Canis lupus familiaris: one gene and its partners. The protein of the gene in region 1 interacts with the protein of each later gene in a pairwise test. Links are inferred from orthologs where the notes say so. Each region holds a gene or a part of one and is shown in the gene's direction. Other genes may lie near its edges.

Region 1 (4,290 bases):
TATTCAATCTATCATCAAATTTTGTTGGTTGGCTCTACCTTCAAAATATATCTAGAATATAATTGCTTCCCACCATCCCCACAGACATTATCTTGGTCTAGGCCAACATCATCTTCCACTTGGATTATCACAATAGCTTCCTAATTGTTTTCCTGACTTCCATTCTCAAACCCTTAGAGTCTGTCTACAAAAAAGCTAGCCTGCTCAGTTCAAAAGGAAAGCCATACCATGTCACACCTCTGCTTAAAATCCTCTACTTCTCATTTCATTCTAAATAACATCCAAAGTTCTTCACATGAAATTCAAAACTCAACAGCTGGGCAGCCCGGGTGGCTCAGCGGTTTAATACTGCCTTCAGCCCAGGGCCTGATCCTGGAGACCTGGGATCGAGTCCCACGTCGGGCTCCCTGTGTGGAGCCTGCGACTCCCTCTGCCTGTGTTTCTGCCTCTCTCTCTCTCTGTCTCTCATGAATAAATAAATAATCTTAAAAAAAAAAAAAACTCAACAGCTTTGTTACACATATCTTTGATCTCATCTTCTAACATACCCCCCCTTGCTAATTCAGCTCCAGCCACAAGGGGTTCCTTCCTGTCCCTGATTATGCCAACCACTTTACCTGATTAGCATTACCCCACTGTCACTCGTCACCAACCCTGCTTTATTTTCTAAACAGCGCCTACCATTACCTGACATTTGTTGTCTTATCCCACTAGAAACTCCTTGACAGCTGAATGTTCTGTTCACTGCTTTTCCTCAACACCTAGAACAGTGCTCCTGTATGCAGCAGTAATAATTTCTAGGTATGAAATTCAAAGGGCTTTTCACTTCATTAAAAACAAGCAAGCAAACAAAAGCCTATTTTGGTTGCTCAGACAATCTTAAAATAACCAAAATGCTTCTAGAATGAAGCTAGATTCCACAGCATCCATCAGGAATTACAACTATGGGAAATGGTGAACGACAATATTCACACATGCAATCCTTTCAGATGCATCAGAATCATAAGCACATGACAAGGATCATGTGCCCAATTAAATGAATATTCTTGTTACATATTCACCAGCTAGTAAACAGATGTTGACCCAGAGCAGACTGTCCTGATGACTCTGCTAGGAAGAAAGAGGTGACATCACTGGAGAACTCAAGGCATATGCTCAGGCAGGTGACACACGTACGCACAGCCTAGACTGTGATTGCTGAACTCCATGCTGACTGCCAAAGAAATTTGTCTCATGACTCTCAGGGGAATTCTCTCAGCCAGACAGTCACCTCTAAGTCCTCTGTAGTTAAGGTTAAGGGGTCTCTTTGTGATCAGTGAGATGTTATGCTCCTCAAATGTCTATTTGTGATACATGTGCTTACATGTTTAGTCAAACGTTTATTTATTCATGAAAAAAGGAAGGAAATAGGGTTTTGTTTAAATTCCATTTCTAGGTCCAAGGCCACCTGTTTTGGCTGTCTCCAATACTGAACCCCCGGCTTGTCATCAGAACCTCTCCCCACACAGGCCCCTCAAATTAGCCACACCCTCCAACCTGTTACCACTCCAAACAATACTCCCCAAACTGTCAATGCGCTAAACAGATCTCCCCCACCCCGCCATTATCGACCATCAGAGACCCCTCGTCTGTCACTCATGCTCCAAAATTCCCGACACCGAGACTTCCCTCATGAAAAGCCCTCTGAGCGCCCTATCCTATCAGCCAGACCCCCAAACTCCTCTTCCCGTTACCAACGTCCGCCGAGACCCGGTTCCTGTTAGCAGTTCCCGACAGCATCCCCTTCCCCGTCACCGAAACCCCTCCAGGACTGCCGGGTGGCCAACGTCATCAGCCCCACTTCCTCGTAGCCTCGCCTCGCCCCGCCCCGCCTCGCCGCTCGCCCCGCCCCTTTGAATGTGGCCACGCCCCCTGGCGCGGCGTCCCGGCGAACTGCGCCGGAAGCCCCGCCCCCGGCCGGTTGCTAGGCTCCGGCAGCCGGAAGTCCCGCCTGCCGTGTAGTCGCCGCCGCCGCTGCTGCCGTCGTTGTTGTTGTGGTTGGTTCGCTGAGCTCCGCGGCTCCGAGAGCCGGCTGCATCCCTTCCCCGCCGTCGCCATGAAGTGGATGTTCAAGGAGGACCACTCGCTGGGTAAGGCTCCGTCAGAGGCCGGGTGGTGGGGGTCGCGGCGGCGGGTGGGCCCCCTCCCCCACTCGGGCCGCCCTGGGCTGGGCCGGGCGGGGCGGATGCCGAGCTGTGGCCTCGGGTCGCGGAGGCCCCGGCGCCCCCGCCGGCTGCCCACGGACGCTGTGCCGCCTTCTGCCCTCCTGCCGGGAGGCGGGGGCCGAGGACCGAGGCCGCCGAGACGCCGTAACAAGGACCCGGGCGTGCGCAGGTCGCTGGGGGAGGTGGGTCGGGGGCGCGGGAAGCGGCGGACGAGCAGGCGCGACCGGCAGCCCCGTCTGTTTCCCACAGAACACAGATGCGTGGAATCCGCGAAGATCCGAGCGAAATACCCCGACCGCGTTCCGGTGAGTGCACTCCCCGCCCCCTCACCTCGTCGTCACCCCGTCGTCTAGGACTCGCGATAGGGCCCCGGGCCACTCAGCAGTTGATAAGTTGAGGTTCCAGTCCCAGTTATAGGAGCAGACAAGCCAGACGGGGCTCGGGGCCTTGGGGGCCGTGGCGTGAGGGGCTTGAGCAGGTGCTGTTCAGGGTGCCTCAGTGCTGAATCTCCCGATCTAGGCCAGCGAGCTGTCTGCAGCCTCTGGGCTCCCTCGCCAATTATGTAAGGAACGATGTTCTAGGACAGGGCAACAGGTCACTGCCACTTTTGGGAACACTGGTGGAGGGAGACTGTCACTTTGGTCTTAGAAGTGGTACTTTAGTCTCAGGACACTCATCTTTAACTTTGAGCCTCTGTCTTTACTTGATTTCTAGCTCCCTTTCCTCACTCTGACCCTGTCATCCTTTGCTGACCAAAAAAAATCTGAGAAGCCTCTGAGAACTCCCTTCTTTCGTGGTTCCTCCTTAATCAGTAATAAAGATCCTGTTTCTTCCGTGGTAGGGGTAAAGTTTCTATAATTCTTACTGATTTTTAGAGGACATCCGTGTCTGTTATTGTAGCTCTTTGTTTGAACAAGCAAAACTCTGAGGAGGGGTTAGGAGGGACACATTTGAAACCTAGTTCAGGGAGAAGCAACAGGCCAAATGAGGAGCTTGGTTTACTCATTCCCATTAGTCCATCCATTCCTCTCCCCTTTGTTCCTTGGGATCTTACTTCCTCTGTAGTGTGAAGGCAGATTCATTCTGGAGTCTTGGAGTAACTGGCTGTAGATGAAACCAGGTATCTCAGGTCTGCCCAGACAAAATGTCGAAGAGCTTTGTAGTAAGGGCGTGTGTTTCTCTTATGCTCGCTGAGATGCAGGATGATAAACATAATTGACCACAGAAAAGCACTTTCTGTTTCCATATCATACATTTATGTCAGTTCTTAACCTCCAGAGTTAAGAGTTTGTGGTTTATTAAATCAGGGGCATATTTTCCAGTGTTGTGCAGTTTCCCACCCACCTCCTTGCCCACATAGTATTCATCAGCTCCCTGGCAATGCAAGGCCAGAGCCTCACTTTAGAAACCCAGTCCTGATCTCTCTTTGCTTTCCCAGGTGATTGTGGAAAAAGTCTCAGGCTCTCAGATTGTCGACATTGACAAACGGAAGTATTTGGTTCCATCTGACATCACTGTGGCTCAGTTCATGTGGATCATCAGGAAAAGGATCCAGCTTCCTTCTGAAAAGGCAATCTTCCTGTTTGTGGATAAGACAGTCCCACAGTCCAGGTGAGAAGTGTTTACTAGCATTGGCCACCTGCTTGGCTGCTTACAGAACTCTAAACTTTGGAGGTGAGAAAACTCTTAGAGGTCCTGACTGGAAATCTGGATGTTGTGCTCCCTGACATGAGGAGCTCAAGGAAAATAAGAAAGGGCTACAGTATCTGGGAATATACTTTGGGTTAAGAAAATAGAACAAGGTTGGACTTAAAAAAAAAAAAAAATCTAGCCTCAGACCCTGATGAATACTTTAAAACAGTTCAGGATTTACTTAGGCTTAAGCCATCACTAGAACCTAAATGAGCCTAAAATTAGGTTTTCTTTAAATGACCCATGAAATAAGTCCTGTCGTTCTCCACTAGGGGCTTGTGGGCCCTGCTGAGGCTCAGCTTCAGTTAATCATCCTCCTGCTTGCTCTCCAAACTTAGTTCTGTGCCACTGCGAGTGTGTAGCTGTCTGATCCTCAGGTATGCTGGAATGGCTG
Region 2 (2,326 bases), on another chromosome or scaffold:
CGAGGCTTGTAATCCTTTGGCAGAGAGGCAGGAGGGTTTGGTGGCACTTTGGGTCCCTGTAACCAGGTGCAAAGCATCAGCGCAGGGCTTCTACGGGAGAACAGACCCATCTGCTCACAGGCCTCCGTGGTTTGCGGTTGTAACACAAGAATGTTCTCTGTGTACTTTCCCCTTTTTTCGGTTGTCCAGAAGCACTGCAGCAGGAAGAGCAAGAGGGAAGCAGAAATGAGGACGTCCAAGAAAAGAGAGGAGGTACAGGCAGACCAGTGTGGCCAGTGCTCACGCACATCCCGGGTTGATGGGGTCTGTGCAGGCCTCCCTCCCAGGGAAATGGCAAACACGGCCTCTGCTGCCAGAGGAAGCCCCTCTCAGCCCCAGACCTGACTCTCCTAGCTGTGAATACCAACCCACCCCCACCTCCCTCTAGGAGCCCAGCCTGTCCCTCTCCTGCCACCCTCTCATCAACCTCCATGTCCTTTCAAACCTACTTTAGTGTAATAACTCAGGGGAGACATCTGGGTGCTCTTCCCATCACCACCTCCCCAGATACTGGGGTGTTTTGTAAGCGGGCCCCAGTAACCCCATGCCAGACAGCCCCCAAACCCACTCACTGCCTGCTCCTGGCCCCAGCTCTGTCTCTGACTTGACAGATCTTTTTTCTCCCAACTCACAGAGGAGAAGGGGACCAGCCCTCCCGACTATCGGCACTACCTTCGCATGTGGGCCAAAGAGAAAGAGGTTCAGAAGGAGACCATTAAGGATCTTCCCAAAATGAACCAGGTAAGCCCATTCAGAGCCCCCCTTGAACAGACATTTCCAAGGCTGGGTTCCCCGGACCCAAAAAGCTCCCTACCGTCTCTCCCAAAACCCCTGAAAGGGTGGAAATTCTCCTGCCTGCCTCCAACACCTGCTAGTCAGAGTCAGGGATGATTCCAGAGGGACAGGAGTCCACTTGCTTTGGAGCCAACTCCTGGTGATGACTTGTTCACATTTAATTGGGATCCATCCACTAGAATAGCTGTAGAGACTCACATGACCCCTCTTACAAGACAGCCTCACAGCACTCCTGTTCCTCCCCAGGGCCGGGCACAGGCAGGCGTCAGACCCCCCCCCATCCCCCACAGCTAACCCAGGCTGTGTTTGCTTGTCCTCACCATCTATTCTGATCAAAGATGTACGAAACTCAAAGTGATTCCAAAACACACTGAAGAAGTCCTTCAGTAGCCACCGACCAGGTTTGGAAAGTCATGGCAGAAATCAGTGTGGCTCTGCTAGCAGAGTGGACTTAGGGGCAGGGAAGAGACTATGCTCAAAGTAAAGGCAGTTGGAAAAGAAAGCTCTTCTGAGGCTATGTGATATCGGTCAAGTAAGCTTCCCACTCTGTGTCTCAGTGTCCCAGTCTGTGACGTGGGTGTAACAAGGCACAGGTGTACAGACAGCTAACAAGACTACAGAGCACGGGCAGTCTGGCTGATCTGAGGTCAGGCTGACCCATCTTCTCCCATCTCCCTGACCTTTTTTCTGTGTTTCGTCTGAAAAGGAACAGTTCATTGAGCTGTGCAAGACACTTTACAATATGTTCAGCGAGGACCCCATGGAGCAGGACTTGTACCATGCCATCGCCACGGTGGCAAGCCTGCTGCTCCGCATCGGTGAGGTGGGCAAGAAGTTTTCGGCGCAGCCGGGCAGGAAGCCCAGGGATGGTGTGCCCGAGGAGGACGAGCCCGTGGCCACTGAACCCCCACAGGACCCAGCCCCAGAGCTTCAGCCCCCAGCCACAGGGGATCCCCAGGCCAAAGCCGGGGGAGACACCCACCTCGGGAAAGCTCCACAGGAGAGCCAGGTGGTGGGCGAAGGGGGCAGCGGCGAGGGCCGGGGCTCCCCCTCCCAGCTTCTGTCGGACGACGAAACCAAAGACGACATGTCCATGTCCTCCTACTCAGTGGTCAGCACTGGCTCCCTGCCATGCGAGGACCTGGCTGACGACACGGTGCTGGTGGGCGGGGAGGCCCGCAGTCCTCCAGCCACCGCCCGCTGTGGCGGCGCTGTAGACACAGACTGGTGCATCTCCTTTGAGCAGATCCTGGCCTCCATCCTGACGGAGTCCGTCCTGGTGAACTTCTTTGAGAAGAGGGTGGACATCGGACTCAAGATCAAGGAGCAGAAGAAGGTGGAGAGACAGTTCAGCACCTCCAGCGACCTCGAACAGTCTGGAGTTTCAGGCTGACAGGGACCTGGCCTGTCTCTCTGCTTCCCCCTCCCCCTTCGTGTTCTCTTTTCTCCTTAAGGACGCACCCCTCTTGCTCTCCCCAGACGCAGTCAGTTG
Region 3 (4,358 bases), on another chromosome or scaffold:
GGGGCTGAGGTTCCCTGGTCACAGTGGGGTGAGGCCAGGCTGTGAGCACCACGTATGGCTAATCAGATGTGCTTTACATATTATTTACTTGCCATTATTATTATTATTTTGGAGCTACCTATTACTGAATAGAAAGGAAGTTAAGAGCATGGAATCTGGCGCCAAACTGCCTGGGACGAATCCGGGTTCCTCCAGCTACTCTGTGATCCTGGGCAGGTGTCTTAACTCCTCTCCGCTTCAGTTTCCTCATCCATAATCGGGCAGTGCTAACACCCACTGCATAGAGTTCTTAGGATTAAGCAGCTGCATAGTCCCTAAGCACCTAGAGACGCTCACATACAGTAAGTGCTGCGTTTGCTACGTGAAATAAAGGTGGGGGGCGCCAGCCTTGCCCCTGTGGTCCCGAGGTGCGTAGGGGGGCGGGGAATCAGTGCCTGCCTCGGTGGTCCTCGTGTGTTTTAGGTGTCATGCCCCCCCCCCCCCCCCCCCCCCCCGCCATGGGATGGACGCGAGTGCGGTAGTTGGACTGGGAACTTCCACTGGGCAGCGGTGACTGGGTTGCCCGCGAGCAGGAGGTGTTCCCGAACCTGGATGTAGAGGTGCCGGCGCTCGGTGCCTTAGGACAGGTGCTACAGCGGGCGGCGCAAGGTCCGGCCGGGGCTGCAGCTGGCGCCTGGGGGACGCTCCCTGAGGCTCGGGGGGGGGGGGGGGCGTGGGGTCACCGGCCGGGGCTGCAGCTGGCGCCTGGGGGACGCTCCCCGGGGCTCAGGGGGGCGGTGCTCGGGGTCACCGGCCGGGGCTGCACCTGGCGCCTGGGGGACGCTCCCCGGGGCTGGGGGGGGGGCGTGGGGTCACCGGCCGGGGCTGCACCTGGCGCCTGGGGGACGCTCCCTGGGGCTCGGGGGGGCGGTGCTCGGGGTCACCGGCCGGGGCTGCACCTGGCGCCTGGGGGACGCTCCCCGGGGCTCGGGGCGGGGGGGGGGCGTGGGGTCTCCGGCCGGGGCGCCCCCGCCCCCCCCCCCTCCCCCGCACGCGGCGCCGGCCGCACCTGCCTGGGCGCGGAGGGCGAGCCCGTGCGCGCCGGCGCCGCCGGGAAGGTCGGGGCGCACGTCCGCGGGCAGCGGCGGCCGCGAGCTCGGAGCGCTCCGCGGCGGTGTCGTTACACACTTCCTGTGGGTCTCGCGGCCCGCGGCGCGCTTCCGGTGCCGGCTGGAGCCCGGGTCCGAGCCCCCGCCCCGCCCGCCCGCCGGCCCCGCCCCGCCCGCGCCCCGCCCCCCGCCCGCCGCGCTCCGAGCTCCGAGCTCCGAGCCGGGCGCGCGGAGCCCGGGGCGCACGGAGCGGCGCGCGCCGGTCGCAGAGCCAGGCTGGCGCCCCGGCCCCCGCCCCCCCGGCCCGCGCCCCCGCCCCCGCCCCCGCCCGCCGCCCGCCCGGCGCCCTCCCCGCGCTCCCTGCCTGCGCGCCCCGGGCCTCCGGCCGCCTTCCCTCCCTCCCCTCGGTCCCGCCCCGTCCAGCCCGGGCCCCCCGGCCCCCCCCGCCGCCGCCCGCGTTCCTATGGACAGACGCACAGACACCTGCAGGTGGGTGAGAGCCCGCGCGGGGCGGGGACGAGCGCGCCGACGCTGCGCCCTGGGCCGGGAGCCCCTTTGTGTGGGGGGCGGCCGCGCTGGGGTCCGCGGCGCCGAGCGCTGACCCGGCTGAACCCTCTTTTGTCTCCTGGCGGGGGGGGGAAGGCCGGGAGCCCGTGAGGGCAGCGGCGGGGGCGCGGGGCGCGGGGCGCGGGGGGGACCCGGGCTCCGAGCTCCGAGCGGGGCCCCCGCCGCGCAGCATCCCCCGCCGCCGCCGCCGCCGCCGCGCTGCGTGGTCCGGCTCCCCCGCGCCCGCCCCGGCTCTGTCCGGAGGGGGCAGGAGGGCGGGAAGGGGAAGGAGCCGTCGGCCCTCGTAGTTTCCAAGTGTTGAGGCGCTGGCGGGGAGGGAGGCGGGAGGCGGGAGGCGGGAGGCGGGAGGCGGCTCGGGGCTCTGCCCGACTTGTTCCGCCGGCGGGAGGCGCGGCCGTGCAGGGGCGAGCGGCGCTCCGGCCCCTTATTTATTGTCTCCAACGGAGGCGGCGTCCCCGGGAGGCCCCCGCGCCCCCCGCACCCCCCCGCCGAGGCCGCGGCCCACGCGCGCGGGTTCCCGGGCCCCGCGACCCGACCGGGCTGCGAGCAGCTTGGCCCCCGGCCCCCCGCCCCCCCGCCCCCCGGCCCCCGGCCCCAGCCACGCTCGCGGGCCGAGTCGGTGTTCAGGTGCTGCCTCTCCTCCTCCTCCTCCTCCTCCTCCTTCTAAGGTTAGGCAGGGACTTACAGGCAAATCGAAGATGAACATGGCTGGGATTTTTACCTTTTGGTTTTCTTTTTGCATATATGTATATATATGTATATGCACATATTTTAAAGTTTGATGATAAAGTTTTGTTATTTCCCAGACTCCTTAGGATTAGCAAGACAGTCTCCTACCTGTTAGGTAAACAGTTACCAAGCGAGTCAGGTGCTGGCTGACAGCCTCCACGGTGGAGGTTAAATGCAAATGCAGTAAATATCCAGCCTCCCGTGCAGGCTAAAACCTTTATCTTTTGCTGGTTTAGAGCCTGAGGTCTTCCACAGCACAGGGAGGAGAACATAAATGTTAGAACTAATTTTTTTTTTCTCTCCCCCCCCCCCCCCCGTGAGTGTGCTTTCCTTCTTTTATTCTGTGTGTCTATTCCCTCTCTCTCTCTCTAAAACCCCACGATTGGGTCGTACATGGTGGAAATAGTTTTTTTGCAAAGTAGCGTAGGTGATATTTCCGACTTATATTATTCATCTGGTTGAGCTTCTTGTGAAGAGCTGATGTGTATTCGTAGGTATCCAAATTGTAAATGAAGTTGAATGAGCACCCAGAAACTTGATTTTACAGATTCACATTTTTAGTGCAGGCACGAATTTATATCTTTGTATGAATCTCAGTCTAGGGCTCACTTCTGGAGACCTTTTTTTTTTTTTTTCTCTTTCCTGCCGTGTGAGAATCCATATGGACAAATTTAAATCTGATGGTTATCAAGGAGACTGAAAAAATAGTTTTGGGTGCACTCAGGTCGTATATGTGGAGTTGTATGTAGAAACCAGAAGCTTTCTTAAACATCTGAAAAACATTGTGGTGGAAAAGAATTTATTTAAATCTTCATCAAGTAGGATACAGAAATTCATCAGAAAGCAATGTACAATGTTAATACAGTTTTGATTAGGCAAAATGATTTTTGTCATGATGAAGCGGAGACAGCTTCAGTGTGCCGAAAAGTCATTTTTTTTCCAGAAGAAAAAAATTAGCCTAGATGTTTGCCCTAGTTACATTAACAGATTATTATTATTATTGCATGCCCAACGTTGTAAGTATCTGGGCTGTACATTTTTATACACTTAAAACTTAGAAGATGCTACATCTAATCTAACAATCTTACCAGTCCCTTTGAACTGATCAAATTTTATTCTTGTTTTGACTTCCTTTCTAGATTAGCTGAATGAATGTAGAGGGCATATAGGGTTCAGTGCAAGGCACTAGTAGGCCCTTGTGCAAGATTCCACTTTCTTTTCTGGTAAGGACGGCCCAAAGAGCATAGGTATTGAAATTTGTTCAGGCTTTATTAGGAATGGTGGGATGGAGTCAGAACACACTCCCGGAGTTCCAGCTATTTGATTACACACACTCTTTATCAGTTCTTAGGAATTTTTTTTTTAAAGATTTTATTTATTTATGAAAGACAGCGAGAGAGGCAGAGACACAGGCAGAAGGAGAAGCAGGCTCCATGCCGGGAGCCCAACGTGGGACTCGATGCCGAGTCCCCAGGATCACACCCCGGGCTGAAGGCAGCGCTAAACCGCTGGGCCACCGGGGCTGCCCAGTGCTTAGGAATTTTTAAAAAGATAAGTTAATAACTTGAATTGTTTATGTATTTATCTGTCAGTCAGAGGGATGAGGTTTAACAGAGTCACGGTGTAAATTAAATATTAAGAGAGTGTGGTCTGTGTTGAGAATTGCTTGGCAACTTGTAGTTATGCCAACAGTTTTCTGGGATTGGCAGTGTAGTGTCTTCCCATGGGCAGGCTAAGAGGTAACACCTAGTTTGTTTTTGTTTTTGGCTGTGATATATGGGTATTCATTTTTTTGTTTTTGTATAATAAACAGTATTTTTTTGTGTAGCCCGAAGCAGTCCAGAGAACCTTACATATTTTCAGCTGATTTCTCTTCTTGTATGTTGGTGGTTAGGAAGGGGTATAAATTATTTTTCACTCTTCATGGTTGAGACTTTTTTCTGATACTTTTGATATGACAAATGTTACTTCCAG
Region 4 (4,119 bases), on another chromosome or scaffold:
TCCCTGTAGGCTGCTTCTAGCTGGTTTAGGAGTTGAATTCATAGGAGACAGGTGAACAGGAGGTTAAGAAAAAAAGTTTTATTACATGTGCATGGAAGTCCAATAATGAAATTGAGACCCTAAGAAATGACCAAGGCTGGCAGTTTTGATATATTTTAGACAGAGACAAGAAATTCCTGAGGAATTGACAGGACAAAGAAAATAGGGGTTTGGGAGCTTTAGTTAGTAAGGAATTCTGAACAGAATTTGGGCTGAGTGAGGTAGTAGATTAGGAAAAAAAAATAAATAACAAGGCTCATTTCTCCAGCTTTCTCCACTTTAAAGTTCCTATCTCTGGTGATAAGGACGTCTTTTTACTTAGTACAGGGAGGGCATTTTTCACACGGGAAATTTATTTCCTGCTTTCAGTGGGGGACAAAGGAGGATCTGAGTGTACTTGTACCAGGTTGTTTCCTGGGTTGATTCAATTCAAAATAATCAATATGCCAGCGCAGTACATTTGGGGGCAGCTTGCCCTGCGCTCCTACACAACCTGTACCTGAATTCCTTGTTTTTCCATTAAAACAAGTGCAGAGAGGGCTTTTTTTAATTGTACAGCAAATGCAGGTGGTCCTGCAAGTTCGAAACAGGTTTAGGGACCGGTTTATATGAACCTGAGTTAGCTGCTTGGTAATCAACACGGCTTTCGAATCTGGTGGGGCTTCTGGGTGAAGAGCCTGACCTCGTTCCTCTGTCAGACTTAAATAATAAAAATGATGCTAAAAAAAAAAAATTATGTCCTCTTGAACATCGTGTCAGGTCAGTCCCTAGGCCTTTCTCTACTTCCCTTGGGTTCCTGGCAGGAAACATGTGGAGAGGGAGCGGATAAACAGGTTCCCGTTCCCAGCAGCAGCACGTTACAAAAATTTTCCATCTGTTGTCGTGCCCTTGCCTCCGTACAAAAAGTGCGGTTTGAAACACGGTTTCTCTTATCTCCCTTTAAAAGCCTTTTTTCTCAGGCGCTTGCATTCTGGTACAGTGTTGAGCATGCCAAGCTGCTTTTCGCTTTATATCATCATGTGACGCCGCCTCTCCTCCAGCCTTGAGGCTCTTTAAAACAGAATCACAAAATATAGTTACTGAGATTCTAGGAGCGATGGGGGTGGGGTGAGAAGCGAGGACTGCGGAGGGCAACGGACTACACTTCCCACAAGCCCTCGCGCGGCAGCTCCCCTCCCTCCCCCACGCTTCCCACCCGGAGGCTTGCGCTTGCGCGGAAAATCCTGCGCTGAGAGGAGGGGCGGGGACGACACAACGCGCCTGAAAGGGGAGGAGGAAAGAAAGAGACCATAGACTTTCACCTGGGCCTAGAAGGTCTCTTAAAGTAGTGGGGAGAGGAGGGCGGGTGGGGACCACCTTCAGAGCAGGCCGCCGGCGGTATCATGGCGACCCGGAACCCCCCTCCCCAAGGTGAGCGGCCGGGGCCCGAAGTAGTATCTCGGACGTGGCTCACAGCTCTCGACCTTGCCCCCGGGGGCGCCTCTTCTTCCCCTGCCCCAGGGATCCAGGGGCTCTTTTTTGGACGCACCCCTTTAGAACTAGACGCCCTCCTCTTACGGCTGAACTCTGGCGGAGAGCGACCCCCGACCCCAACACAGCCCTGCTTCCTGCCTTACCTTCCCCTCTGGCCCTTCGTTTCCATCTTCAGACGTGCTTTTTGGCATTTCTGATGAATTACTGAAGTAATTTCATCTTGCCAGGCCCCTAACCGCTTCTGTCAGTGGAGGACCCCCTCTTTGTCCCACTGATGAAAATGGATCTCTAGCTCGGGCCCTGACCCGACTGAGATTTGGGGGCGACCGTTTATGCCGTGAAAGTCTGACCTGGCCTTACTGCCATTTGGGGAGGCGACCCCTCACTTCTGTGTAACTCTGACGTGGCTCTGGCTCCGGCCTCTAGGCCGGTCCCTGGGCCTTTGGAAGGGAGATGCTAGGCCCTTTTACTCTTGAGGCCCTAGTCTCAGGTGTGGGGTTTAACAACCTAAGGTTTCCATCTGGGCATTTTTAGCTGTAAGAAAGTAACAGTTAATGACAGATTTTTTAAAAAATGTAAGGACCTTTCTGACTTTTGGTTAACTCTAAATTTATTTTTTCCATTTTGTATTTTGAAGAGTATGAAAGCGATGACGAGTCTTATGAAGTGTTGGATTTAACTGAGTATGCAAGAAGACACCATTGGTGGAATCGAGTGTTTGGCCACAGTTCCGGACCTATGGTTGAAAAATACTCGGTAGCCACCCAGATTGTAATGGGTGGAGTGACTGGCTGGTGAGAACATCTTTTTCATTAGATTTCATTGGCAGCCTTACTGCTGCCCTTCCGTAAACAGGCCAGTTACTGAGCGCATTCAGTGGTTTTACACTGTTAATCCCAGAAGAGCTCTACCTTGAGGCTCTTCTCTGTGATATGATTGGTGTGATCTACAGTCTGGAGACAGTGGTTTTGGTGATTGGCTTCCCCACGCCCACCACTTGTTCCCCTGGTCCCTCTCCCTTCCTTTGATTCTTTACGTACTTTCCACCTTCTCACATTTAGCAAATGTAGTGTATCTGATTCAGTGAGAGTGGGTAAAAAGGAAGATCCATCTGAGGGCTAATTATATGTAAATAATTTTTACTTGTGCAATGCTAACAACTGGAAAGACCTTTGAGGACTCCCACAGTAGAATTGGTCTCTAGGATTGAGAGCTCTGTAGAAAGCCGTGTAAAATTCTCAATGAAAATTATTGTGAATCAAATGGTTCTGTTGATTTTTGTGGACTAATTTGGATTATTATAATACTTTGAAGAAGAGTTGGAATTGAAGGACCAATTGCTTACTCTGTAATAATATTGTGGAATGCATTAAGGAGAAGCAGTTAAGCATTAACCTAACTAACCAATTAATGTTTTGGGCTGCATGATGACATGATTGCTACTGTAGATCAAGTTGTTATTCTTGGAATAAAAGATTAGCCAAATAACAAGGGTCAAACAAGTATGGCCCTTTATCTTGAAAATGTTCATGATCGTGGAGAATTTTTGACGTTTGTGGGAGTGCTTAGCTTGTGAGTAATCATTTTTCTCCCTTAGTTCTAGGTTAAATTTATCTTACATTAAATATTTACATATTTAAACTTGATAAGCATTAAGCTTTTTGATTTGTGTTTTATATGTACCTTAGAACAAGGTTCATTCCTTTATGCCTTTTTGTAAATGCTATTTTATGGTAGAAACATGCATTGTGAAGATTCTGTGATGCAAAGGTACAGTATTTCTTCATGATGTGTGCTTATTAATGCTGCTTATGAAAAGACCTGCAACTAGAAGAGAGATGCCTGGTCAGGGCCCTGGTTATTCAGTTGATCCTCCACAGATAGTTTGTACCTTGATCCTCCATAATGGAGTCTGGTGCTCTGCTCACATAAGCTCACACGTTGGTGCCATGGCTGATTGGTTAATGGGAGTCTGGGCCTAAAGCCCCATCTTAAAAGACACTAAAAGAATAATTAAGCGATAGAATTATCACATTGTGTGCATTCTCCTTGTAGGCCAGACTTGGTGAGAAGCCCCATAATTGGCAGAAGTTTGCTTGGAAAGCCTAGAGACAGAGCAGGGGAAGTTAGTAGTTTAATTTTGATGGCTCATGCTGTTAAGCAAAGGATAGACATGCTTGTGAGACATGGTCTCTGGGATGTACTTGTGACTTGGCTGCTGCTCCCCCCCCCCATCAGAGCCTTTGTTGCTGACTTCCCTACTGGCAGCTGTGGTCTTTATAGTAATACGTATGTTTGGGTTACAGCCAGGTGTCGTCGGCTCAGGAGCTGTGTAATAGGACTCCAATATTACACGGGTGGTTTGTTGCAATGACTTTAGACTCAGTGCAGTAAATTTCTGCAATTTTCTTAAGGTAGAAAACTGATGTACTATCGTGGCATGTGTTAAGGAGGAATGGTTAATAGGCATTAACCTAACCAGTTAACATTGCAGACTCTGAACTCTGTAATAATATTGTGGAATGCATTAAGGAGAAGCATATCAGGTTCAGGATATGCATGGGAGGCTAAAGAGATTATATGCAGCTGTAGGTAGTTACAGGTTTT

What was found.
Region 2: the proteins of GABARAPL2 (region 1) and TBC1D9B interact in binary tests that used the Homo sapiens proteins (3 or more experiments, as listed by UniProt). The link is inferred for Canis lupus familiaris from reciprocal best matches to the Homo sapiens genes GABARAPL2 and TBC1D9B.
Region 3: the proteins of GABARAPL2 (region 1) and KIAA1958 interact in binary tests that used the Homo sapiens proteins (3 or more experiments, as listed by UniProt). The two-hybrid records come from large-scale screens. The link is inferred for Canis lupus familiaris from reciprocal best matches to the Homo sapiens genes GABARAPL2 and KIAA1958.
Region 4: the proteins of GABARAPL2 (region 1) and FUNDC1 interact in binary tests that used the Homo sapiens proteins (3 or more experiments, as listed by UniProt). The two-hybrid records come from large-scale screens. The link is inferred for Canis lupus familiaris from reciprocal best matches to the Homo sapiens genes GABARAPL2 and FUNDC1.

Annotation. Positions count from the first base shown.
Region 1 is NC_049226.1:75,815,061-75,819,350, reverse strand, and holds the start of GABARAPL2 (gamma-aminobutyric acid receptor-associated protein-like 2), read left to right. Parts: upstream 1-1,480; 5' UTR 1,481-2,095; coding exon 2,096-2,129; intron 2,130-2,453; coding exon 2,454-2,509; intron 2,510-3,642; coding exon 3,643-3,815; intron 3,816-4,290. UniProt on the Homo sapiens protein: Ubiquitin-like modifier involved in intra-Golgi traffic. Modulates intra-Golgi transport through coupling between NSF activity and SNAREs activation. It first stimulates the ATPase activity of NSF which in turn stimulates the association with GOSR1.
Region 2 is NC_049232.1:2,093,278-2,095,603, forward strand, and holds part of TBC1D9B (TBC1 domain family member 9B), read left to right. Parts: intron 1-189; coding exon 190-252; intron 253-673; coding exon 674-780; intron 781-1,540; coding exon 1,541-2,227; 3' UTR 2,228-2,326. UniProt on the Homo sapiens protein: May act as a GTPase-activating protein for Rab family protein(s).
Region 3 is NC_049232.1:67,371,563-67,375,920, forward strand, and holds the start of KIAA1958 (uncharacterized protein KIAA1958 homolog), read left to right. Parts: upstream 1-1,518; 5' UTR 1,519-1,577; intron 1,578-4,358.
Region 4 is NC_049260.1:38,703,776-38,707,894, reverse strand, and holds the start of FUNDC1 (FUN14 domain-containing protein 1), read left to right. Parts: upstream 1-1,290; 5' UTR 1,291-1,421; coding exon 1,422-1,449; intron 1,450-2,149; coding exon 2,150-2,306; intron 2,307-4,119. UniProt on the Homo sapiens protein: Integral mitochondrial outer-membrane protein that mediates the formation of mitochondria-associated endoplasmic reticulum membranes (MAMs).